Arabidopsis thaliana: one gene and its partners. The protein of the gene in region 1 interacts with the protein of each later gene in a pairwise test. Each region holds a gene or a part of one and is shown on either strand. Other genes may lie near its edges.

What was found.
Region 2: the proteins of AT1G66260 (region 1) and MAGO interact in a two-hybrid assay, tested with the Arabidopsis thaliana proteins (one study listed by BioGRID).
Region 3: the proteins of AT1G66260 (region 1) and Y14 interact in a two-hybrid assay, tested with the Arabidopsis thaliana proteins (one study listed by BioGRID).

Annotation. Positions count from the first base shown.
Region 1 is NC_003070.9:24,693,033-24,702,249, forward strand, and holds AT1G66260 (RNA-binding (RRM/RBD/RNP motifs) family protein), read right to left. Parts: upstream 5,883-9,217; 5' UTR 5,817-5,882; intron 5,453-5,816; exon of another isoform or gene 5,345-5,452; 5' UTR 5,263-5,344; intron 4,879-5,262; 5' UTR 4,852-4,878; coding exon 4,630-4,851; intron 3,885-4,629; coding exon 3,735-3,884; intron 3,645-3,734; coding exon 3,576-3,644; intron 3,489-3,575; coding exon 3,298-3,488; intron 3,215-3,297; coding exon 3,146-3,214; intron 3,050-3,145; coding exon 2,863-3,049; 3' UTR 2,614-2,862; downstream 1-2,613. Other genes in the region: AT1G66250 (O-Glycosyl hydrolases family 17 protein), read left to right, coding at 31-115, 630-1,880, 1,992-2,019, 2,231-2,384; BGLU21 (Glycosyl hydrolase superfamily protein), read right to left, coding at 7,078-7,285, 7,365-7,473, 7,565-7,667, 7,752-7,786, 7,894-8,111, 8,190-8,305, 8,426-8,678, 8,768-8,855 and 2 more. UniProt on the Arabidopsis thaliana protein: Export adapter involved in nuclear export of spliced and unspliced mRNA.
Region 2 is NC_003070.9:400,479-407,899, forward strand, and holds MAGO (mago nashi family protein), read right to left. Parts: upstream 3,979-7,421; 5' UTR 3,924-3,978; coding exon 3,708-3,923; intron 3,470-3,707; coding exon 3,293-3,469; intron 3,049-3,292; coding exon 2,989-3,048; 3' UTR 2,622-2,988; downstream 1-2,621. Other genes in the region: RA-5 (RAS 5), read right to left, coding at 247-350, 453-608, 686-757, 845-892, 983-1,030, 1,117-1,189, 1,297-1,310; ALG12 (homolog of asparagine-linked glycosylation 12), read left to right, coding at 4,149-4,191, 4,279-4,364, 4,434-4,475, 4,587-4,632, 4,752-4,838, 4,952-5,007, 5,170-5,287, 5,415-5,473 and 9 more. UniProt on the Arabidopsis thaliana protein: Core component of the splicing-dependent multiprotein exon junction complex (EJC) deposited at splice junctions on mRNAs.
Region 3 is NC_003070.9:19,099,775-19,107,897, reverse strand, and holds Y14 (RNA-binding (RRM/RBD/RNP motifs) family protein), read left to right. Parts: upstream 1-2,964; 5' UTR 2,965-3,144; coding exon 3,145-3,415; intron 3,416-3,728; coding exon 3,729-3,865; intron 3,866-4,374; coding exon 4,375-4,529; intron 4,530-4,780; coding exon 4,781-4,826; 3' UTR 4,827-5,107; downstream 5,108-8,123. Other genes in the region: AT1G51520 (RNA-binding (RRM/RBD/RNP motifs) family protein), read right to left, coding at 48-194, 394-1,109; ABCG12 (ABC-2 type transporter family protein), read left to right, coding at 6,926-7,154, 7,390-7,469, 7,553-8,017, 8,103-8,123. UniProt on the Arabidopsis thaliana protein: Core component of the splicing-dependent multiprotein exon junction complex (EJC) deposited at splice junctions on mRNAs.

The DNA of each region.
Region 1 (9,217 bases):
TAGATTCTCCAAAAAAGTCTCTCTCTTTCCATGGCTTCTCTTCTCCATCTTCTTCTCCTTTCTCTTTCTCTTTTAGTTCTTGCTTCAGCTTCTCCTTCTCCTCCAGCTGATGAAGGTGAGATTCTTGTATCTGATTCAATCTTGTACTTTGAGTTTCAGATTCAATCTTTACTCCCAAATTTGAAAGTTTTGATTTTTGCATGTGTTAATGTTCTTCTAGAAAACCAAATGTTCCATTTTTTATGTAGTAATAATTCCACTGTCAGTGATTAATGAAAATAGCTTTAATATAAAGTAATTAAAGACAAGTCCTTTTGTATGTATGTGTTGGATTTGATTCATTGAGTATGTTTGAGAGTGTGGTAGGTTATGATAATAAATGTCAGTATGTGTGTTTGGCAGGTGGGTTTGTTTTTAAATGCTCACTAAGAAACAAGAAATGGTGAATTTTCATGTCCCCAAATATTTATTACAAGACAAATAATTCAATGTCTAATGTTTTGACCAGAGACATAGTTCTTTTTAGTTAAGTCTATGAATCCAAATCTTTGAGTATTGTACACTCTTTTGGACTAGTTCTAGATATGTTGATACTAATGGTTTAGTTGAAATCAATATATTTTTTGTAGGTTCATATATTGGAGTAAACATAGGGACTGATCTTTCTGATATGCCACATCCAACACAAGTTGTTGCTCTACTAAAAGCTCAAGAAATCCGACATATTCGATTATACAACGCTGATCCCGGGTTGTTGATTGCTCTAGCAAACACTGGTATCAAAGTTATAATCTCCATTCCTAATGACCAGCTTCTTGGTATAGGTCAATCCAATTCAACCGCAGCGAATTGGGTTAAACGCAATGTCATTGCACATTACCCTGCAACGATGATAACCGCGGTTTCTGTTGGCTCTGAGGTGCTAACCAGTCTCTCTAATGCAGCACCTGTTCTAGTCAGTGCTATAAAGAACGTTCATGCTGCTTTACTCTCGGCGAATCTTGACAAGTTGATAAAAGTTTCTACTCCTTTATCAACTTCCTTGATTCTTGATCCTTTTCCTCCATCGCAAGCGTTCTTTAACCGTTCTTTGAATGCGGTTATAGTTCCGTTACTAAGCTTCTTGCAGTCAACAAACTCATACCTGATGGTGAATGTGTATCCATACATTGACTATATGCAATCAAACGGTGTGATTCCGTTAGACTACGCGTTGTTCAAACCGATACCTCCAAACAAAGAAGCTGTTGATGCAAACACTCTTGTTCGTTACTCAAACGCTTTTGATGCAATGGTTGATGCAACGTACTTCGCTATGGCGTTCCTCAACTTCACAAACATTCCGGTTTTAGTAACCGAATCAGGCTGGCCTTCGAAAGGAGAAACCAATGAGCCTGATGCTACACTTGACAACGCCAACACTTACAACAGTAATCTCATTAGACATGTTCTTAACAAGACCGGAACTCCGAAACGCCCGGGGATCGCTGTGAGTACTTATATTTACGAGCTTTACAATGAAGATACAAAAGCAGGTTTATCAGAGAAGAATTGGGGGTTGTTTAATGCAAATGGTGAACCGGTTTACGTACTTCGGTTGACTAACTCGGGCTCGGTTCTAGCTAACGATACAACGAACCAGACTTATTGTACTGCAAGAGAAGGTGCTGATACAAAGATGCTTCAAGCTGCTCTTGATTGGGCTTGTGGTCCTGGAAAGATTGATTGTTCGCCTATTAAGCAAGGAGAGACTTGTTATGAACCGGATAATGTCGTCGCGCATGCTAACTACGCGTTTGATACTTATTATCATCAGACTGGGAATAATCCTGATGCTTGCAACTTCAATGGTGTTGCTAGTATCACTACCACAGATCCAAGTAAGAAACATAAAAAGCCTTTTTTGATTATACATTGCATTGTGTAATACTGTTTTTTACCGTTAATTAGTAAAAAAGCTAATTTTTTCTTGCTTGGTTGTTTCAATGCAGGTCATGGTACATGTGTGTTTGCTGGGAGGTAAATTATTCTGTTTCCTTATACTCTTTTGTTGGTAGATATGTTCATTCTTGGTTTCGATTAGGAAATGTATTGATTTGGTTTTTCGGATTAAAAAGAATGACTTCATGTTAATTGTGTTAAGTTTTTTTTAGTATCAGATCAGTTAGTCCAAATGAAACACTCATATTGTATAAATTTTTAATGGTTGTTTATTTTACCTCGATTGCAGCCGCGGTAATGGTAGAAACGGGACGTCTGTGAACATAACAGCGCCATCGGCAAACTCAACAACTTCTTCTGGAATACGGAGTGATTTGTATTACAGTCGGGGTATATGGAGTATCTTGACAGTAATGATTTTGAACGTTGCTAATATCTTGTGAGAAATCTTTGGGACATAACAATGTTAGTTTCTGTTCCGAGAAGTTTTTTTAACTTTCTTAGGTGGGATTGGAGTTAGAATTGAGGCCGATTGTGTTGGATTCGATTTTGTACACAACAAAAACCAAGATAACATTCTAATGGTCTTTTTTATCCCATTGTTCGTTTTTGATCCGTTACTCAGAAAGTGAAGTTTAGGGTTTCTGTAGATAAAATTCACAATTGACTAAAAGATTTTTTCGTATATTATTAGATTCAACCAACTAACAATAACAGCTTTCTCATTTACAGCTAAATCTCTTTTAACTTCAATAACCAAAAGTGACTGTGAAAGTGTGAAACAAGAAAAGAGGAAAATAAAAGCAGAGTAGAGCCATCCTAAACGTAATTAAACCAAACCAGACTTTGCCACATATTTAGTCAGAGACTAAGAATAAAGAACACAAAAGTACATGACAAGATGCGAAGTCTTGCTTCTGTTTAAGAGATGTTCATAGCTTCAGCATGATAGCTTTCGAGATCTTTGTCGAGATCCGCAGCAGACTTCTCCACTGGCTTCTTTCCACCTCGCCCACCGCTTTTATTCCCTCTGCCACCACCATTACCCCGGCCTCTACCACGGAACCCGCCTCGACCAGCTGTCACACCACCTTGTTGGTTTTGTTGGCTGTCATAAATAAACAATATGATAAGATAAGATGATAAAACCAATGCATGATCAGCCCACATGAATGACAACGAGATCAGACTCTTGAACACTTACAGTGGAAGGCGTCTCCCAGAAGGACCTGAACCTCTTCCTCTTCCTACTCTCCCACCTCTAACTCCTTGTCTGCAATAATCAGTGATACATTCACTTCAGCACATAAACTCAAAACTATTCTCTTGTAAAAAAAAAACAGACCGGCAACATACCCAATGAAGACACTCCTCTTCATCCTTCCATTCAATCCAGTCACATTAACACGAGCTGCGACAGGAGCAGATTCAGTATTTCCACCCAGAATCTCCAGTTTCATAGGCCTTCCATCCAAAAGTACATTATTGTATTTCCTCATAGCTTGAATTGCATCACTTCTTCTCATATACACAACTTCAGCCGATCCCTGTATGACACAGAACATCAGATATCAAATATTACAGAAACACGGTAATGAACAGATAAACCATAGCAAAAAGAAAACAGAACTTACACTTGGACGCCCATTTTTGTCATAGTGAATTGCATATCTTTTCAGCTCTCCAATTTCAGCATAGAGTTCCTAGATTCCATATGATAGTACAAACCAATTTCAGAAAACTCCACAGAACCAAAACAACAGAAGCACTGGAACATAGATGTCAGGCTATACCCTTATATCTTCATTTGTCACTCCCTGATCAAGGTTGGTAATATAAACTGTGGTTCCGACTTCCACTCCTGATACCCCAACAGCTCTAAGGGTTTCTTCATACAAATCATTCTGATTCTGCCATGGCAAGCTCCTCTTCCTGCGGGCAAGCTGATCCAGTAGAACATATCAAGTCAGCTAAAAGGGTCTGTAGAATCTTGAAGCCACATTAATCAACAAATTTCTTGAAAGAGGAGAAAACACCCATTTGGCTGAAAGTACTAAAGCAAAGAGCTCCAGGAAGAAGTAGTCAAGAACCATCCAAGGAGATACCAAATGAAACGTAGGGAAACAAGTAAATTTGACTAACTTCATATGAATCATACTGGTGTTATCAGTCAGTCTCTGAAGCCAAAAACGAAAACTGAGACTGCCGTCACACTCCGAAGAAATTCCAGATGTACCATCGTGAACTTCATGCATAGTGCAAATACCCCCACTTTGATAACCCATCATAAATCCTATTTACTGTTAAAATTTCTGAAATTCCCCCTAAAACCACACACATTTTCAGGCTTTATCCCCCTGTAGATAACCCTATGTGGACTACTTAGCTTAAAGGAGCTCCTCAATAAACCTATAGCGAGTGACAATATCAACCGAAAACTTCTGCACATCTATTCATGCCTCTTGAAGTTCCCAGATTTTAACCATAAAAACCACTAATTGCAGGAAAGAAGCTTTTCTAAGAAGATGTTAGAAGATTCTTGTAATCTGAATCATCATCAGAAGTAACGGTATATGCATGTATGATTCTTCTCCAAGGACAAAAGAGCATTAAAAGATCATCCATCTTAAGTTTTAGCATGCTTCGGTATTTGGTGGCACAGAGTTCCAATCAAGATTTCGAGCTTGCCTTGTTTATGGAGAAGGATGATGATGGCCGAGTATTAACAGCAAGAGGACCTCTACGAACAGGTCCACCTCCTCTTCCACCTCCTACAACACCATTAGGTCCACCACGTCCACGTCCACTCTTACGGGAAACTCCTTTACCTCCAGACCTTGCAGCTGCAGACCTTTCACTCTTACTCTTCTTCACAATTTCATCAAGAGTCATATTCAAAGCGTCTGACATCTTCAATCCAATAAAATCAAACTAAACCTGAACAAATTGGAGTTTAGAAAATTACAATTAGCTACCACCAACACAATGACAACACACGCCATCAAAATCGAAGGAGATCAAGCAATAATTATAAAATTCAAGCTCAAATACACAAATCAAGGACGGTGAATCATATCCACTGCTCGAATTCAAAGATCTGATTATCGGAACATATGAACCAATAGATTCCTAAAACCTAGAAAACAATTCTCATAAGCGATATCGAGAAAACACGAATCACTGCAAAATTTTAGACGGAAACTCGTAATCGCATCTCAGAAACATAGATCAAAGCCCTAGATCTAGATTCGTAATCGAAAAAGTGAAATCAATCGGAAACATTATACGCGAAACCAGATGAATCGAGAATCGAAACGTTACCAGATTAGGAGAAAAGACAGATCGGAGAAGATCGAGAGATCTGTGTTAGGGTTTTGAGGAAGCTTTTGGGGATTTTTTTTTTCTCTTGAGGATTTGATGAACGAAGGGGGGGAAATAGTTTGTGATTGAGATTACTGGTTAATGGAGAGGAGAAGGTATCTTTTTTTATATAGGACTAGGTCAGCAGGGTAATTATGTAACTTTTCTCGATTTAGGGGGGGCGTTTTGCGTCTCTTATCAAAAGTAGACAATTACCAAAAAACCGTAAGGGAAGATTGCCAGCTATGCGTTTCCGCGTTTAGTTAAAAATAGTTTATAAGATAAGGATTATACTTTTCGAAGATATCAAAAATGCCCCAGTTGTTTTTCTAATTGATATGTTGATACTACAATTTTTTTTTTTTTTTTTTATTGTGTATATGTAAGAATCTATCAATCTATCATTCCTACGGAACCTTTTTGGTACTCCTGAAAAACAAATCTTGATCAAACCTATATTTGCATATGCAGTTTAAGATTATGTCCAGTGGTGAGAACCTTCTATAGACTCTCACTATTTTTTTGTTTTATTTTTTTTTGGAAAGATTTATTAATTTTGTTATCTTTCCATGGTAGGTTCTCCAAGTAGGGTTCTTTAAAAGAAAGTGTATATGATCCTTTGTGGCTCAAGATCAGTTCCAATTTTATTATGTGATCCTTGTGCCTTGTAATAGATGTCTAAAGATGAGTGTTAAAGAGAAAAACAAACCAAAAGACATGACTCACTACAGAGCATAAATTACAGTATATGCATATATTTCAAATCTTACCAATTTGGTAGGTCTTGTCTTTCCTTTTTTGACAGACAATCCTTCCAACTCAGCTTCAAAGCTATCAATCTACGACTCTAGTTCACTCACTCACATATCAAAAGCACGAAAATAAGTAATGAATCAGCTACAGTACTGATAGGAGATGCTCCAAGAATTCTCAATTTTACAAAAGAAACAGTCTGAAAGTGAGTTGGCCTTTAAATTTTTTGCTTTTAAAAAAAAAATCTTGAAAATCACTATTTACATAAATCGTTTTTGATAAGTGACTACTAGTAAGATAGAATGTGATGATTTCATTATTAACACATACGTTTGATTGTTTTTTTTTGTTTTTTTTTGCTTGCTAAGAATGAAATATGAATTTCCAAAGTAATGAATGATGTTGGTATTGCATGGTGGATTTATTTGGTTGCATCATGCATGGATTTTATTTCCTTAAGGTATATAGAAAATACGCTTGGCCAAATGAGTGAAAAAGAGATATCTTCTCTTGCTGGTCGTCCTGTTTTTTAATCTAAACTAGTGACTTTCAAAAATAAAATATTAGAACTGTTTGGGAAAATGAATTGCCATTGTTTATTTCATCGCCAACGTTTAAGTTGTTAGTTTTTGAAATGTTTGTACTTAGTTGTTAAGACGACGTCAAATTATTTCCTAATCTATTTCTATGTATAGAGGTAAATTCGTATTTTTAATTTTCTAAAACTAATGATATTTTCTTACATCATTTTGTAACTCATAAATTTTTTAATGTTAAGGTTGTATGATTCAATTTTTCTTCAAGTTTGGAAGGTAAAACATATTTAACTTCACATATTGATTCTCAAAAAGGATAACGTCATTAAAACTAAAGCCTTCTTGATCTTGTCGAATAAGCTAGAGATTGAAGGAAAACGAAACACTTTTATTATTATTAACCACGACTCATGAATCGTGCGTGGTCAATCACAAACTAAAACATAGGAAAAACATCGAATAGAAAACGAAATCCTCAAAATATAACTTAAAGCTCATCCCTCTTGAGTGCGGATGGACGAACACCTTGAGCGAGGAAATCTTTGTAATACTTGGCTGATTCTTTCTCATAACGTGTGAGGTTATTTTTGAAATCGACGTAATAGAGTCCGAATCTGTTTTTGTAACCATCTTGCCATTCGAAGTTATCCAACAATGACCATACAAAGTATCCCGTAACTCTCACCTTATCGATGCTGCACAAACACAATTATGTTCTTAATTAGACCATTCAATAGAATCGTTAGTCAATCTATCAAATAATAAAAGGCTTACCAAATAGCCTCGTTCATAGCCAGAAGATGCCTCTGAAGATAATATTTCCTGTTATGATCAGCAGTACCAACGTCAACCGAATCTGTGGTCCCAAGTTTATCTCCATATCCTAGAAAAAACAACATTATAATGATCAGTATATTACTCTTAAGAGTTAAGATTAAATCAACACACAAATATAACAATAAATCTCGAGTTACCATTTTCCATTATCATAATCTCCGGGTTTGCGTATTTGTCCTTGATGTACTTTAAAAGCTTTCTAAATCCTTTAGCGTAGACGGGCAATGCAGCAGTAAGAGGCTGAAATAAAGCAATGGTGAAAATGTTATGTCGTAGACAAAAATTAACAATCACAAACTAGGACTAGTTTAATCAAACGCTTACCATGCTACCAATGGCGCTGTGATCTACATTCTTAGCTGAAAAATAAAAAGTGAAAATGTATGCATATCAATTAGTATTATAAAACCTTTTATCTTTAGTTTCTTGGTTTGGTTTCATGTACGGAAAACAAAAAAAAACTTACGTTCCCAGGAAACAAGAGAATCTTGCTTCCAACTTGGTTTAGACGGATCTGGCTTCTCATTATAATTTGAAAATGTCGAAGTATAGTAGTTAAGCCCTACGAAATCGGTCGAATCTTTCAATTTTGCTTTTTGTGCAGCAGTAAATTGAGGCAATCTGTAACCAAGAAGGTCTTTCATGATTTGTGGATAATCTCCCGAAGTAGTTGGCTCCAGATGCCTACACAAAATTAATAACTACATTAATTTTTATGAAATTATATACGAGAAACCATTTTCTAACATAATATATACTTACCATCCCAACATAAAGTCAAGTACACGGCTAACAGTTGGAGCGTCATTTGAATCTTTAAGATCATGTGGTTCGAACCAAGCCGGACTATGTGCGATTCCGATTTTCCCACCTTTAACCTATGTCCATAAACACAACACAAAACAACCTATTTTAAGATTCGAAACCTGATAATTAATTGTGATTTATATCTAATGTGACCTGATAATTAATTATGATTTATATCTAATGTAAACTACCTTTTGGCGGAAAACTTCAACAGCTTCTGCGTGAGCGTTGAGGAGATTGTGACTGACTAGATAAGCCTCTTTACCAGATTGTCCCTCTCGGTCTTCGCAACCTGGAACGTAGCGAGAACAACGTCCTGGTGCTTTCTTTCCTAAGTCGTAACCTGCGTGAGCAAAGACCCATGGCTCGTTGAAAGTGATCCAGTTTTTCACTTTTCCACCGTATTCAGTGAAAACATAATCTGCATATTCTCGAAAATCTTTCCTGTATTTTTGCAAAAAAAAAAGATACCAAATTAATAATTTCCATATAAACTTAACTAAATGTATTTTGTTTAATTTACAAAAACATACACAATGTTTTGGCTTAAGAAACCGCCATATTCGTCTTCCAAATCTTGTGGAGTGTCCCAATGGAAAACAGTCACAAACGGAACTATACCTATTTATGACGTAAAATAGAAAGAAATGTTAAATAAGGATACTATATTACTTGTATTTTTGTGAACTAGGTATTTTATATGTATATAACCATTTTTAAGGAGTTCATCGATGAGCTCGTGGTAGAATTGCACACCAGCTTGACTCACTCCCTTCTCCTTTCTCCCATCTAATAAAGCATTACAGTTTGTTTCATTAGTTATTGATACTTCAACATTCACATATACATCATCTAAATTCATTGGTTATTAGTATTATATAACAATCACATAAATCTAATTTCACCAAATTCGATTAAAACAAAATCAAACTAGAGATCTGCAGACATATACTCACGAGGAAATATTCTTGACCATGCGATTG
Region 2 (7,421 bases), about 24 Mb from region 1:
ATATATCACACGAACGCACACTCTCTGCAAATTGATTAAGTACAACTACTTGAATTTTCAATTTGAACACTGCAAGGTCAACATCAGTCATTTATTTATTTCACTCCAAGGTCACTTACACAGTGACACTTTCTGAGATCTATATAAACACTTACAAAAATGAGATTATGGCTTCGCAAAAGTTCCATCAGGTATGATGAGTATATTAACCGCAGTTACTTAAAAAGAACGATGTAAGATAAATACCTCTCTTTGATGGATGCAGACATTGCCATGAAAGCCTGTTCTACGTTTGTAGCATCTTTTGCACTAGTCTCCATAAAAGGAATCCCGATTTCATCGGCAAAAGCCTATGAATGTTTCGAAGTAATCAGGAAAGTAATAATAGCCTTAGAGTTTGATGATTTTCAAAACTTGAGAAGAAAGAATTGGTTCAAGTGGCATATATATACCTTGGCAGTTTCATAAGGAATGGCTCTGTTTTCAGTAAGATCAGACTTGTTTCCAACAAGGAGTTTGTTGACATTGTCACTAGCATAACGATCAATTTCACTCAACCATTGCTTGACATTATTGAAGCTTTCTTCATCTGTGACATCGTAGACAATCTACCAGGTGCAAGAACTAAATTAGGACATAAACTTAAAGGAGTCAACAGAAAGAACCTAGATAAGATGTTGCTTACAATAATTCCATGTGCCCCACGGTAGTAACTGCTAGTAATAGTCCTGAACCGTTCTTGACCAGCAGTGTCCCACTGAAAATAAGTGAAGAGGGAAAAATATGAATTAAGGGAAAGAGACGTAGAGCTATTAACTTGACAAGTGTGAAAATAGTTACATACAATTTGGAGCTTAATTGTTTTGCCATCTTGTTCCACAGTCCTAATTTTCTGAACAAGAGATATATAAGAAAAAAAAAAAGGTCAGATCAAAGCATCGTCATCAGTAGCAAGAAGAAAAAAAAGAAAACATCAACTTACAAAATCGACTCCAATAGTGCTAATGTAACTTTCTACATAAGAATCATCCTGCAGCAGAACAACAAACATGAACAAATGTAGAAAGCTACAGTGTTTGATCTCTGAGAAAGAAAAAGACAAAAAAAAAAACTTACAGAGAATCTCAAAAGAAGACAAGACTTGCCTACGCCAGAATCCCCGATAAGCAGGAGCTTGAAAAGATAGTCGCTGCAAATCCCAAAACGCTAATTAAACCCTAGGAACCACCCGGAGAATCAAATATATAACAGAGGTAATTTCGACCCAAGTATGTGTCGATGGAGAAAGGAACTTACTACTCAGGATTCATGGTTTTCGATCTGTGGGAGGAAGAGCAGCGAGCGATACAGAGCCAGAGATCTCTCTCTCTCTTTTCTGATTTTCTCTCGCGATTTACAAGAGGAGGAGATTCAGTGTTTGGGCCTTGAATAATAATATGAGCGAAGGCCCAATAATGCAAAAGATTAAAATTCATTCTTCTTTCACAAGTTTAGGGTTCCTACGATCCACTCAGCAACGAAAATGGATCAAGCCCGACAGAGTCCAGAGGAGCGGAGGCCCAATAACGCCAAGATTAAAATTCATTCTTCTTTCACAAGTTTAGGGTTGTAAATTGGCCCTTCCTACGATCCACTCAGCAATTGGAGATTGTTTTGTGGTTCCCAGATGTTGGATCTATACTAGTCTTCTTGATTCATTTTTCCAATTGTTGCTTGCTTTTTGATTGACATCTATATTTTAAGTTGGGAGATATACTCTAACTCTTTCTGGAGGAGGAGGTTAAAACAAGGTAAGGCTTGGACTCGGGTCCCATCTTCCAGTAGAAGCTCTCTCTCCAGTTGATGCCTTGTCGATTTCAGCACCGTCTGCCAAACAAACACAAATTTACTTACACTCAGTCTCTGAAGACTGAGTTGATCTCTTAAAGTCAAAGCTATATGGAGGAGAAAGGCTACGTTAAAATCCATGTAAAAAAAAAAAAAAAAAAATCCATGTAGGAATCCCGCATTGTGAGCCACTTATCATCCATCACCTTGAACGCAATGCAATATCGAATATCAAATGCGGACTCGTTTTCTAACAATAAATTATACACCATCCAATTGTCAATATATATGGCTTCGCGTTTATCTCTCTTAACCCAAAGCTGCTGTAACTAACTAACTAACCAGCTACTAATGTTTCCCCGACCATCTTAAAAGGTAACTAACTAACTAGCTGATGCTAGTTGGTGCCTGAGCAGGGGTGAGATCAAAGGAATAACGAGAGTGGTGATCCCTTTTCTGTGCACAAACACAAGCCAGTCCCCGCCCTAACCATGCACCTGATCCTGCCACAAGATGAAATATGCATGTGACTCTCTGCAACACACTACAACAAGGTAAAGGAGACTAGTGCGTGCTTAACCTGAGGATGAATGGCAGGTGCGTCCTCTGTCTAGGCTGTGAGTAATCCGCCTGACACTGACAAATGAATCCTCCATTGTTCTTCCCGATTCATAAAAAGCTACTCTTGATATCTTCAATGCAAAACCAGATTTACGGGTTTTGGAGGAGCAGTTTGAATGGTCCGAGGGCGTTTTTTTAGAATGGAAACAATCCTAATTATCGACTAATCCAGCTAGTTTTTGATACTTTGTATTTTAGATAGATCACATTCCTTAGTTTAAATTGGCTTGAGGGAAAAGAAACATGCATCATATGTAGATGTACATTAGGGAGAGTGAATGATTTGTGATAAGAAAACAGCAAGTATATGGTTTTTAGAAGATAGGTTGTGGTTCATGAAAGGTTCTTCACATGGGATGTTGACACAAAAAAGGACCAAAAGTTGAGGTAGAACATCTTACATACCCACTTTCACCCAAATCCAACAAAAAAAAAAAACAGAGAACCAGAGACATAAAAACAACCAAACTTCAGTCACAAAGTCCTCATGTTCCCAACAAATTCATCGCGTCTTGACATGTCACAAACTGATTTTCTTCTCTAGATAGGCTTGATTTTGAAGTGCAGAGAGATGAGCGAAAAAACAAGACATTTCAAGTCCTGCAACCATGAAAGTTTCAAAAGGAATATGTTAGAGCACAAATAAATACAGAAACTAAAAAAAAAAAAACTACAGAACCATGTAAGGGATGAGTGTTAACAGCCAAACCCTAAATGTTAAAGTTTGAGACAGTGAATACGTTAAAAGGCAGAGTCCTAAATATATAATCGAGTCCAATAGAGTTAAGGGATTAGGTAAAAGAAAAGATGGTAAGGCAAGGGGTGGAAGAAAAAGAGAGGAGACCTGAACAAGATAGTAGAAGATGCGAAGTCCTTCAGGATCATTACTGCTCTGGCAATCAACAAGAGATCCAATCTTAGATGTAGCGAATGAGATATGCTCATTACCCAAGACGATCTCGAGCTCTTGCTTTCCAACACGGTCAGGTTCCGGCCAATTGTTATCGTCTTCTTTCAGAATCTACCCGCAGACAAATAATCACATGTCAGGTTGTACAAAATCATCCATTATTCCTAGATAATAGCATTAACAACGAAGAGGGTTCTAAACCTACAACACTAGTCAGGAAAGATGCCCTAGATCGACAAAAATCGAAGCAAAATCACTAAAACCCTAATTGGCTATTATAGCGTCGATTGACCAAAACGCGGACAATTAACAAGAGAGAAGCAAATCGGAAGAGAGAGAGAAAAAGGACCTCGCTCTCGGAGACGATACGCTTGCATTCCTTGAGCACGGCGGGGGTGAGAAATACCTCCTTGCGGATAATAGTATCGTTCTTGTAGTTAGAGTTATTGGCGTAACGGAGCTTACCGTCCTCTCTAAACTCGAACTCCAGGAACTCGTGTCCAAATTTCCCTTTGTGACCGACATAGTATCTCAGGTAGAACTCCGTCGCTTCTTCCGCGGCCATGCCTTCTCTTTTTTTCTTTCTTTCTCGAGATCGAGATTACCTCTCCGTGTCCTTTGCCCTTCTTTAAGTCCGTCCCCGCAAAAGAAAAAAGGTAATGGGCTTACATATTGGGCCAGAACCCATTTGTAACCCGAAAAGTTAAGGCCCAGTTTTAGTTTTTCTGTTTCCATCGAAATTGTGTGTGTATCCGGGCTGCCTGATTTCCGATTCCCCGATACAGAGACGATGCCGACGGATTCGAAAATGGCCAAGTTTCTTCAATCCTATGGTAATTTCTTCGTTTCGTCTTCTTAGGCGGCCAGATGATCTCTTTTTCTTTTTTTATATAACTGAAACTTTCGATTGGTGGGAGCAGGATATGATTTGATTCTGGGATCTGTAGCTGCAATCTATGTGGTCATGGCACCATATACTAAGGTGGAAGAGAGCTTCAACGTTCAGGTAGGTTTTCAAAGTATTTAGAGTCACACTCTTTCTCCGTTTTACTGAAACCGTTTCACTCGTCTCAAGTCAATGCACGACATTCTTTACCATCGCCATCATTTGGACTCTGTGAGTGACCTCTCTTTTTACTTCTTCTCTGAAGCTTTACTCTTTTTTTTTTTATCTCTAGAGTGATGTCAATTTTTACCGACTTCTGTCTTTTTATTTTTTTCCTATCAGTATGATCATTTGGAGTTCCCCGGTGTTGTCCCTCGAACTTTTATTGGTAAGGAGGGCTGTTGAATTTCGCTCTCTGTTTTTGCATCACCTGTTGATGGTTTTTTTTTTATCATTATACATTAGTGGATGGTTTTTTTTTTATTCCACTCTGATTTGTTCTTGCAGGAGCCTTCATAGTCTCTGTTTTTGCATCACCTGTTGTATCAATTATCAGCTGCCTTGGCTTCCCCAAGGTTTATAGCCTTGTTGCAGGTTTCTCTTCTGTTTCTCCCTCCCTATATAATTCCTTAATGAATCGCTAACTATTTTCCCCTAAACACAGACAAAACCAATTCACATCATAGTTTTATCATTTTGTCTTGCAGCTCGTTTGGTGTTGGGCTGCATCATATTGTCCACACTAAGATTTTTCCGGATTCAGGTATGAAGTTCCTTTAGTGCTTCTTTCCATACCACACTTCTGACTCCCCTATCTGATTCTTTGTCCCTTCCCATGTCCTTGGAATTGGGATCTCTTACATGCATCTTGTTGGCTGTTTTTCTCCTATATACTGCCACTGACCAAAATCTACTGGTTTGTCAGATAAAAAAAAAGTTTGGAAATCAAGTGGAAACTTTCTTTGTACTTTTCACCAGTCTTCAGTTTCATTTTCTTTTCTACTGCACTCGTCCTCTTCCTAATATTCTAGCTTTGGGATTAGGTAATTACTTCTATTCATCTTACTCTACTAGTAGTGGTCCTTCAGATGTCCTAGCAATCTTTCCCATGACCCATCTAGCGTAGGCCTTACTAGGTTCTGCTTATGTTTTTAAATTTTGATTTTGCAGTCAATCTGGCATATGGTAATTGGTTAAAGGGAAATTTTTATCCAGCTTTGAGTTTCCTGGTATGTATTATCTTTGTGGTGACATATTTTCTCGATTATAGATTTAGAAAATCGGTCATGCTATCCAGAACTATGGGGTTTGCTGACATCTCTGTTATCCGATAATCAGATTTTTGCCACTGTAATCTTCAGATGCGATACGATGTTACTGCTTGGGCCTATTGGTCTTGAACTTTTATTGGTGAGCTGGTGACGAATATTAAATAGTTTGGGTTCTCAACTTCTGTATATGTATAATTGGCCGTATACTTTACCGTTCCATCTGATGCGGGTGCTTTATGTTTGTCAATGACAGACCAAATCGATCTCCTTCTGGAAAGCACTTAAGTATTGTGTTGGAACCGCTCTGTTGGCCGTAGGTTGGTTAAAATTCCTCTTCTTTCTGTGATCTATTTTGCTTTTTCCCTTCAGACACTAATTCCCGAGTCTATTTTCTGTGGTCATGGAATAATCCTTAGCACAGGTCTTACCATTTTCGTTGACTCTATCATGTGGAAGAAGTTTGTCTGGCCAGAATTTGAAGTTTTCTGGTTTAACTCCATTCTAAACCGGAGTTCTGATTGGGGTGTATCCTTCAAAAAAATTGTTTCCTCAATTGATTTATTTTTCATATGATGCATAATGTTCTAGCATTTTTCTACTGCCTGATTAAAGGATTGCGTTCTGTACAATGATAACCGTTTGGAATTTCCAATTCAAAGTTTAATATTGTGGCACTTGCATTTGTATGAAATGATGTGTTGTCCTTGAAAATTAGTTGCTAAACTAGACACATTCCATACATTGGTACTTCACCTCAGCACTCCCACGGTCTTTACTTGTAGCTTATCCACTTTCATTGGTAAATACCAGACTTCCTAACATCTGTGATAGTGTTTGTCTTGTTCCTTTCTAGTTAGGATCGCTAATTGTATCTCTACAAATTTTCTTATTTGGTTTCTTTTTATGCAGCTTGGTACTTTAGTTGACAGAAGGGTTCCATTCTTTATAGTTCCAGTTTTATCGTTCGTTATACTATACTCTAAACTTCCACACAAGGTATTCAGATGGATTACTTATCTCAGTAGCCATCAACGTTTCTTAACCATTTTCTGACATCGGCTTACCTATCTTTCTTGATTTATGAAGGAACTCCGATTTATCATTAGTTCAGTGCCAATGTTCAACTTGTCTGCTGCAGTTGCTGCTAGCAGAATGTATGAGTTCTATCAGATGTTTGCTAGCTAAGCTTTCAATCATAGCTAGGACGTTCTTTGATTCTGTATCTTAAGAGCTCTTTGGAGTTTGGATACACATAATTTCTGTATGCCACTTTAAATTACTACCAATGCGGGCCGACCTCTTAATATAATCCGATTTTGTTGTACAGCTACAATAATAGGAAGAAAACGATTTGGAAACTGGTGAATATGGTTATGCTAGCGTTTTTTGCAATCAGGTAGAAATAGTAAACAATTATCTTTGCTATGTAAGAGAAGGAAAGAGATTTGCTAGTCTACTAAACCTGGTTCTATAGTGCAGGGTGCACGGTTGTAACATTCATGGCATCTTACTACAATTATCCTAGCGGCTATGCTTTAAAGCGCTTGCATCAGATTGGTGAGTGACTTATTCTGTTATTGGGGTTTGTTATTAATGCAGCAGCATTGACTTGGCTATCAAACAAGAAACATCTGCTGGTCAGCGTTTGTTTTGTGGTGTCTATCTACCTCTGGTTGATAATTTGCCTACAATATGATTAATTGACTTGGTGCCTTCCATGGTTCTCAGGCCATCCTGCAAATGTAGCTGGGGAAGAGTGGGTTCACATAGACACTTTTGGTGCGATGAATGGAATATCTCGCTTTTGTGAAGATGATTTTCCGTGGAGGTATGTTAGCTGTACTACCTCGTTTTAGGGTTGGTAAAAGTAAAGGAAATATCAATGTACATGGAAAAAAGTTGCCAC
Region 3 (8,123 bases), 5.6 Mb from region 1:
TCCTTCCTTACATCTATAACCCGATTATATCACAACACATGATTTACCTGAAATAGGTTGAGACGTCTTCATCAGTGAAGGAGCTTTCAGATGGAAATGTCAAGTAAATCTGTTTAGAGACTGAATCCTCTCTTTCATGCCTTCCTTGACTAAAATAGTTACCACATTCTTCTCCAAAATGTCCTGATCCGTGTCTGCAAAGAAACAATCACCATGAGGAAAACCAAGCCTCAGAGCTCAAAACTTCTTGATACAACAAAACCAAGAGAACAAACCAAAACCATCTAAAAAAACTTGCCTCAAGCTAAAATGCTACTACTCTTGTTGTGTAAAGTTTAAGTCTTTCCTAACAGAACATACACAGAGAAAGAAAACAAAAAATCCCAAACTTACCTATGCAACATTGGAGAGCCACAAGCCGCCATAAACTGAGCAGCAACCATGCTCTTTTGCTGAGCTAACTTCATCCTCATCATCCCCTCAAGCATGTAATCCATCTCACTCGGCGATCCAAAGACACCAGAGGAACCAAAACCATCAACTAAACCGCCTTGTGGAAATTGATGACAACCATTTCCTCCTCCAAACCATGGTTCCTCTGACTCAAAACAAGCATCGTTAGCAGAGAAACTCCTCTTGTGAGAATTGGCAAATGGGTCCTCGTCGTTTGTGAACAGAAAGTTGTTACTGAATTGTTGTTGCTGCTGCTCATCGCCGGAAGAAGAGGCAAAAAGTGATGAACTTTCACGAAAAGGACTAGAATTGAAGTTAGGCTTATTATCTCTGAGTGTGTTCAAAGTTAACGAAGAAGACAAAGGGTTACTAGGGTTTCTCGAGAACTCTAAGAACCCATTTCTGGGAGAAGACGAGGACAATGACTGGCCATGGATATTGATGGGTCTCGAGAAACCGTTCGAGGAAAAACCTAAATCGACTTTAGCTTTCTGACAGAAAGTCTGTATGAGAGAGTCAGGACCAAAAGCAATTCGAATCAAATCTCTTTGTTCCATGTCTTGCAAGAGAAAATAGTCAATGACTCTGGAAGCGTTCTCAAGTTCGAAAGTTCTGATCTTTGAAAAGATTATTGAAGTTGGGTCGCCAGGATCCATGGCCGGAGAAGTTTTGTTTTTCCCCACAAGATGGTGAAGAAGACGAAGAGAAAAAAGGTGAAGGCTCTTTTTGGGTTTGCGTTAAATCATAAATGTATGTTTCTTTTAGAATTTTGTATGATTTTGTCTTTGTAAAAAGCATTTAGCAAAAAAAACAATTTTTTTTAAAAATCGAACCTTTTTTGTTTTTATTGTTCTTTGAAACTGTTATCGATTTTTAGGGATATTCAAGTTTCGTAAAGAGCGAGATTAGAATGGAAAGAAATCATATATATTGACCTGATTATTTTGGCAAATTAAGAGCATTAACAGATTTTAAAAAGATTGTAGTAACAGATTTTAGTAGGTATCAACACTATGTATTCCCTTTTTCATGGATAAAGTAGCTTTTTCAATACATTGTTTTCGTTTTTGTTTTTTTGTTTATTAGATTGATTTGTTAGAAGAACAATTTATATTTGCAGTAAAAGATTATTGGAGATAATTAAATTATTTAGTTAAAATAATTTATATAAAGTAATTTTTTAGTTAACTAAATTATTTGACCCCAAAAAAAAAAAGAAATTCTTGGTCTGCCACTTTCTATACTCTATACTAATAAAGATTTTAGTTTCTTCACCTATAGTAATGGGAATCACTTGGTTCCAACAAAATTGATAATTACAACTGTTTGGTGGATTTAATTTTTTTTTTCTCCCAAACTCTTTGGCGTTACAACCTGCAAGTAAAAGGGGAAAAATGAGGTCAAAAACTCTATCAAAAAACAAAACCAAATGAATAAGGGCCAGGCTTATCCCTGAACATAGCTAAGTGAAAACTAGCATTGTGATGTATAGATTATATAAATCTTAGGACCTGCCCGTAAAGAAAAAGTATACTCTATAAATATTAGGACCTGCCCGTAAAATATTTTTTGCCCTTAACTCTCATGACCGGGCCAGCTAAAGACAAACGGTCACTTGAACTGTGAAGTCTACTATTTTTAGTATAGGGCTCATCGACAACAATTACCCTATCCCATCCCATAAAACAAAATTTTGTCAGGCAGCTGTTCTTTTCCCCGTCACACCAAAACTCGCGCATGACATTAATTTTTCCTCAACACTGTAACGAGTGTACGGTCTTCGGTTACTTCATTTCCAAATCCTACCCGTTAAGATTATCTTTAGATATTATATCAACGGTCGATATAGCTTCTTTAAGGACACGTGTGTTGTTAAATAGTTGTCGTAAATTGACCAGAGTTTTGTACTACTTTAGTCAACAGAACCAGACAATAAATGTTTTCCAAATTAATGCTCTCCCCTCCTCTAAATGACGTAAGTAATTATTGGCGACGAACTAAGATTTGTTTTCTTTAAATGCTTTGCATCTCTCTATGTTTTCTTTCTTAGAATTTGGTCGAACATGTTGGACGAGATTTATTTGAGATTAGAGTGGGAATTAGAAAGCAATATTCGACTATAATGATTGTATGCAAACGGATAAAACAATGATGATCACCATCAAAGAGATGGACCAGTATCGACTGTAAAGTGTTAAATACCACAATATGATTGATAGTATCCTAATTATGAAGTGATACAATAATTTGACATCATGAATGCTTAAAAAGGTATGCCATGATTCACTCTCGACATATGAAATTCAGATAATGTAACATTAACAAGAGAAGTTTTCATCAAAGGCTTAAGCCTGTTTTGTAAGAAACCTAAAAAATCAAAGGCTTAGCTTACTCTGAAGCGTGAAAGAATAAATAAAAAAAGTAAGAGCCCAAAATAAGCCCACTAACATTGACGAGAGGAGTTTAATCAAAGCCTGTTTAAAAGGGAAAAGGAAAAACTAGCGTGAGAAAGAAATACAAGCGTAAAAGCCCAAAATAAGCCCACTTAAGGTCCAATATATTCCTATAAACAACACTGGCAGAGAAATATCTTGATAGAAGAAAGAGCTCCGTCCCCAAAAACAAAGGAAACAAAAAATCAGTCGGCGAAACGGGAAGAGATCTATCGGAAATCTTACGGCGGCGGAAGTCATGGCGAACATAGAATCAGAAGCAGTCGATTTCGAGCCAGAGGAGGATGACCTTATGGACGAAGAAGGTACAGCTATTGACGGAGCTGATGTTTCTCCACGCGCGGGACATCCGAGGCTTAAGTCGGCTATTGCCGGAGCTAATGGCGAATCAGCAAAGAAGACCAAAGGCCGTGGGTTTCGCGAGGAGAAAGATTCCGATCGTCAGCGTCGTCTTTCCTCACGCGATTTCGAATCACTTGGTTCAGATGGCCGTCCTGGTCCGCAGAGATGTAATTTCACTAAATCTCTTCCTCTTTCGCTGTTTTTAGTTAGGTTTTAGTGTTGGCATACTGATTCTTCGCGTTGTTGATTTATTTGTGGTAGTAATTTGTTCTAGGGTTTCTCATAACCCCTTGTGTTTGGGATTCAATTTGACCTAGAAGTTTTTTGAAAAAAATTAGATTGGTTTAGATTTAGTTTGTAACCATTATAAAAAATGTAATGGTTCTAGAGTCTGTGAAGATAGAACATAGTTTCTTTGAGGGTAATGAAGAATTGGGACTGTTTTGGATGAATTTGTTTGTTGTGTGTGTTTATGTGTAGCCGTTGAAGGATGGATTATCTTGGTCTCTGGAGTTCATGAGGAGACACAGGAGGAGGATATAACCAATGCTTTTGGTGATTTTGGGGAGATTAAGAATCTAAATCTCAATCTCGATCGCCGTAGTGGTTATGTCAAGGTATGGAGTTTTGCCTTTGTTTCTTAGTGGCTCTTGATGTCATTATGCCTTTTGGTTAGTTATTGTGAAGCTAATTTTTTTGCTTAGTTATGTTGATATCATTTTGCCTTTTGGTTTGTTATAGTGAAGCTTGATTTGTTGGATTGTTGTCATGATGTAATTTAGAGATGAATGCAATACTGTTTTGTCGTAGATGTTGACTTTACTCTTTGACATGCTTTGTGTTAATCAATGTAATACTGAATATCTGAAATTGAGAGCCAAAAATGATAAATTTATCTTTGCAATGTTACATTGCTTTTAAGAGGGAGATGTAATATTCTGTAAAGTGCAATGCTGTTCCCTAAGGACACTTCGTTTAAGTTACTTCAAAGTGTCAGAAATGACGGGTCGAATAAGATAAGCTGTCTTCTAGATGCGAGTTTAGGAATCAAATATTATTTTTCTTTAGTTTGCTTGAGTTCTCATGGAAGTGGAAGTAACACTTTGCTTTTGTTTTTTTTGATAAGGGATATGCTTTGATAGAATATGAGAAGAAGGAAGAAGCACAGAGCGCTATTTCAGCAATGAATGGTGCTGAGCTTCTAACACAGAATGTTAGCGTTGACTGGGCCTTCAGCAGCGGTCCCAGTGGTGGTGAATCTTACAGGAGAAAGAACTCGAGGTTTGTATCCTAATCTCTTTTCTGTTCCGCTACGACTTGTCTGATCTTGTGCCGATATGAAGTCAAGAGTGTCAAAAAGTATCAATTAAGATATAGACTTAGAAGTTTTAACAGTTGACAAGGTAGTATATTGTACTAAGCACCTACCAAACTTTACTGTCTTTATGCTAATGAATCGAAATCACTTGTGACTTGTCAAGTAGTTATACCTTTCTTTAAATCATCATCCATTGATCATTGGGGTTTTACAGGTATGGGAGGTCGCAACGTTCAAGAAGTCCGAGAAGACGTTACTGATTGTATGATTTGGTGGAGAGTTCTCCCCATATCTCTCTGTATTAGGGATTCCCTCTCTTATCTGTAAGGTACTGATGCAAGACGCTGAGTGTTGAACAAATTTTTTTCTGGGGTTTTTGTAGGGTTTGGCTGCTTTTGCATTGGTTTATCTCTTTATGCATTTGCATGGGATTGTTGCGTTTAAACACCATGAGATCTGTTTTAATGCTTTGTATTGGTAAAAGAAGAGAAACATTGGATGAGGAAGAATGTTTTAATTTTCATTCTCTTATTGATTCATATTTAGGTCAGACAGAATTTGAAAATCAAAGACCTTCCATTACACTAGAAAACCAAATATGATTATATAGAAAAAATCAAAGAATTTTCAACCAATGGCATTATTTCACACTGGTTTATTATTCTAGGCGTAACTATTGGTAACCTAAATATGTTAACAGAAATCATCAAATGACTATTAAATATTTTGGCTGAAATTTTCCAATCAATGGCAATATTCACATCGTTTGTTTTTATAGGCGTAACTATTCGTATCCTAAATATGTTAAAAGAAATCATCAAAGGTTTGATGATTTGAGATAGAGCATGTACTTTCTTGCTACTCACAGGTTGCATGATTTCATTTGTACGAATCAATCATCTATACTTTGTGCATTGAGCCAGTCCCACATTATGTTTATGTATCCATCTATTTTAAGGGCTCTCATATACTAACTTACAGCTGAAAAGTATAAATATGAAACAGTTGGAACAGTTATATAAGTTCTGCTTTTGTTGTCACCAACAAAAAAAATGATATGCTTTTACATGATTCCAACAAAAAAAAAACAGTTTTGTATTCTTGTTAATGATGGTGCCAAAGGCTTATAAGACCATACCTTAGATTCTGTTGAATTTAGAATCTGGGTTTCTATCTCTTTTCTGGAAATCTTGTTTCTTTTTGTTTTCTTTTTATACCAAAACTTTGTGAAATCTTAGGTACTTTTGTTTAGTATCAGTTTACTCGTTTAAAAAGAACCAATAAACCTACTAGATATAAATAGTAAGAAGTCTATAACTTAGGGTTGTGTTAAATACTAAACAATGCTTAAAAATGTGGTTAGACATAGCGCTATACTAAAGCTAAAAAGCTAAAGATAACCATAAAATCATGAAGATAATAAATGGACGGATAGACCAAAAAGAAATAATGAAGCATAATACAAAAAAAAAACTATATCGGTTCCAACTACCACACATTTAATTCCTTTCCCTTTTCATTTAACACCTGTGAAGACTCGTTGCGAGGGTTCTCTACCTCTTTATGTCATTCAAACTTATCAATTATCAAGTCTCTTGATTTTACATGTTCAACCAAACACGATTTTTCAAACTTAATTTTATATATCTTCTTCATTAATTATCGAATATCACTTCTCTTGCTTATAGTTACAAAAACTAATACAATGATAATTATATAATTCTATGTGTGAACAAAACGATAAATTTGTCAAAGTATCACTATCAATCCCTTGGAATTAGTAGACAACCAAATATGGATCCTTTAATTGATTTGTGATGTTTCTATTCATTTCGAACTAAATGAAAACATCTCATCGTAAATAATCACACTGTTAAATTTCATTTCACAAAAATATCATTTGATTTCTGTGTGGACGAAATTTCTTGTTAGTTGGCAAGAACCGACATAAAAAATATATTTCATACGTATAATAGTATGTCAATAAGTAGGTGGTTGCTTACTAGTTACTACTACACATGGACGATTGTATAAATATTAGACCTCATTCACACAACTCTCACTCTCTTACATTTAATGTGCAAGAAAATAAAAAAAACTATATACTATAGACGTGTATCTATATATGGTTATGATATTAAAGCCATCCATTAAATGTAATTAGTTGTTTGTTGATTGTTGCTCTCAAGTCTCACCTAAAGAAAACCTTAGGCCTACAAAAATTAATCACTATCTTTATAATTCCATCTCCAACCAATATAATAAAAATAACCTAGACGAAGAACAAACAAAACTCTCTCTTTCTCTCTCTCTCTCTAATAAGTAAGGTTTTGATCTTTTTCAAGATCAAACAAAAACAATGGAGTTAGAGAGTACGAGCAATGGCCGACGTCCGCCGCCACCGGCAGAGATTGGCCGTGGGGCGTACTTGGCGTGGGAAGATTTGACGGTGGTTATACCAAACTTTAGTGGTGGTCCGACTCGAAGATTGCTCGATGGATTAAACGGTCATGCTGAACCAGGTCGGATTATGGCCATTATGGGTCCTTCCGGATCCGGCAAGTCCACGCTTCTTGATTCTCTCGCAGGTTCGTTTTCTTTTTGGTATTAGTGTGAGTGAGATTTATTTGATTATGTACATAAATATTTGTTCTATTTCATTATTTTGTTCTACATAATTTACGTATCTAATTTATGGATTCTTATTATACCTTATGCTAATTCTAGTTGTTAAGTCACACTCATTATTCGTTAAAAGATAAACAAATAAATCATATCTTAAATAATTTTAAATAATTGTTCAGAATTATCCCATGTATATAGGTAGACTCGCAAGAAACGTGATTATGACCGGTAATCTTCTATTGAACGGAAAGAAGGCAAGACTAGACTACGGTCTCGTCGTAAGTATAATCTAATATCAAAATTTAATTCGATTTTTTTTTGGGAATTTTAGAATTTTTATTGGAATTATTACTATGAATAGGCTTATGTAACACAAGAGGACATTTTGATGGGAACACTAACGGTGAGGGAGACAATAACATACTCAGCTCATCTACGGCTATCAAGTGATTTGACCAAAGAAGAAGTCAACGACATTGTTGAAGGAACAATCATTGAACTTGGTCTTCAAGATTGTGCAGACAGAGTCATAGGTAATTGGCATTCTAGAGGAGTGAGTGGCGGCGAGAGGAAACGCGTCAGCGTTGCGTTAGAGATCTTAACGCGACCGCAAATTTTGTTTCTTGATGAACCTACTAGTGGTTTGGACAGTGCTTCTGCTTTCTTTGTGATTCAAGCGCTAAGGAATATCGCTCGAGATGGTGGTAGAACCGTTGTTTCATCGATTCATCAACCTAGTAGCGAAGTTTTTGCTCTCTTTGATGATCTTTTTTTGCTCTCTAGTGGTGAGACTGTTTATTTTGGTGAATCCAAGTTTGCTGTTGAGGTAAAAACAGAGCCCTTTCTTGGGTCTCAAGAAACACATTTTCTGCGATTTTCTGATCGCTAAATGATAACTGTTTTGTTTGCAGTTCTTTGCTGAAGCGGGGTTT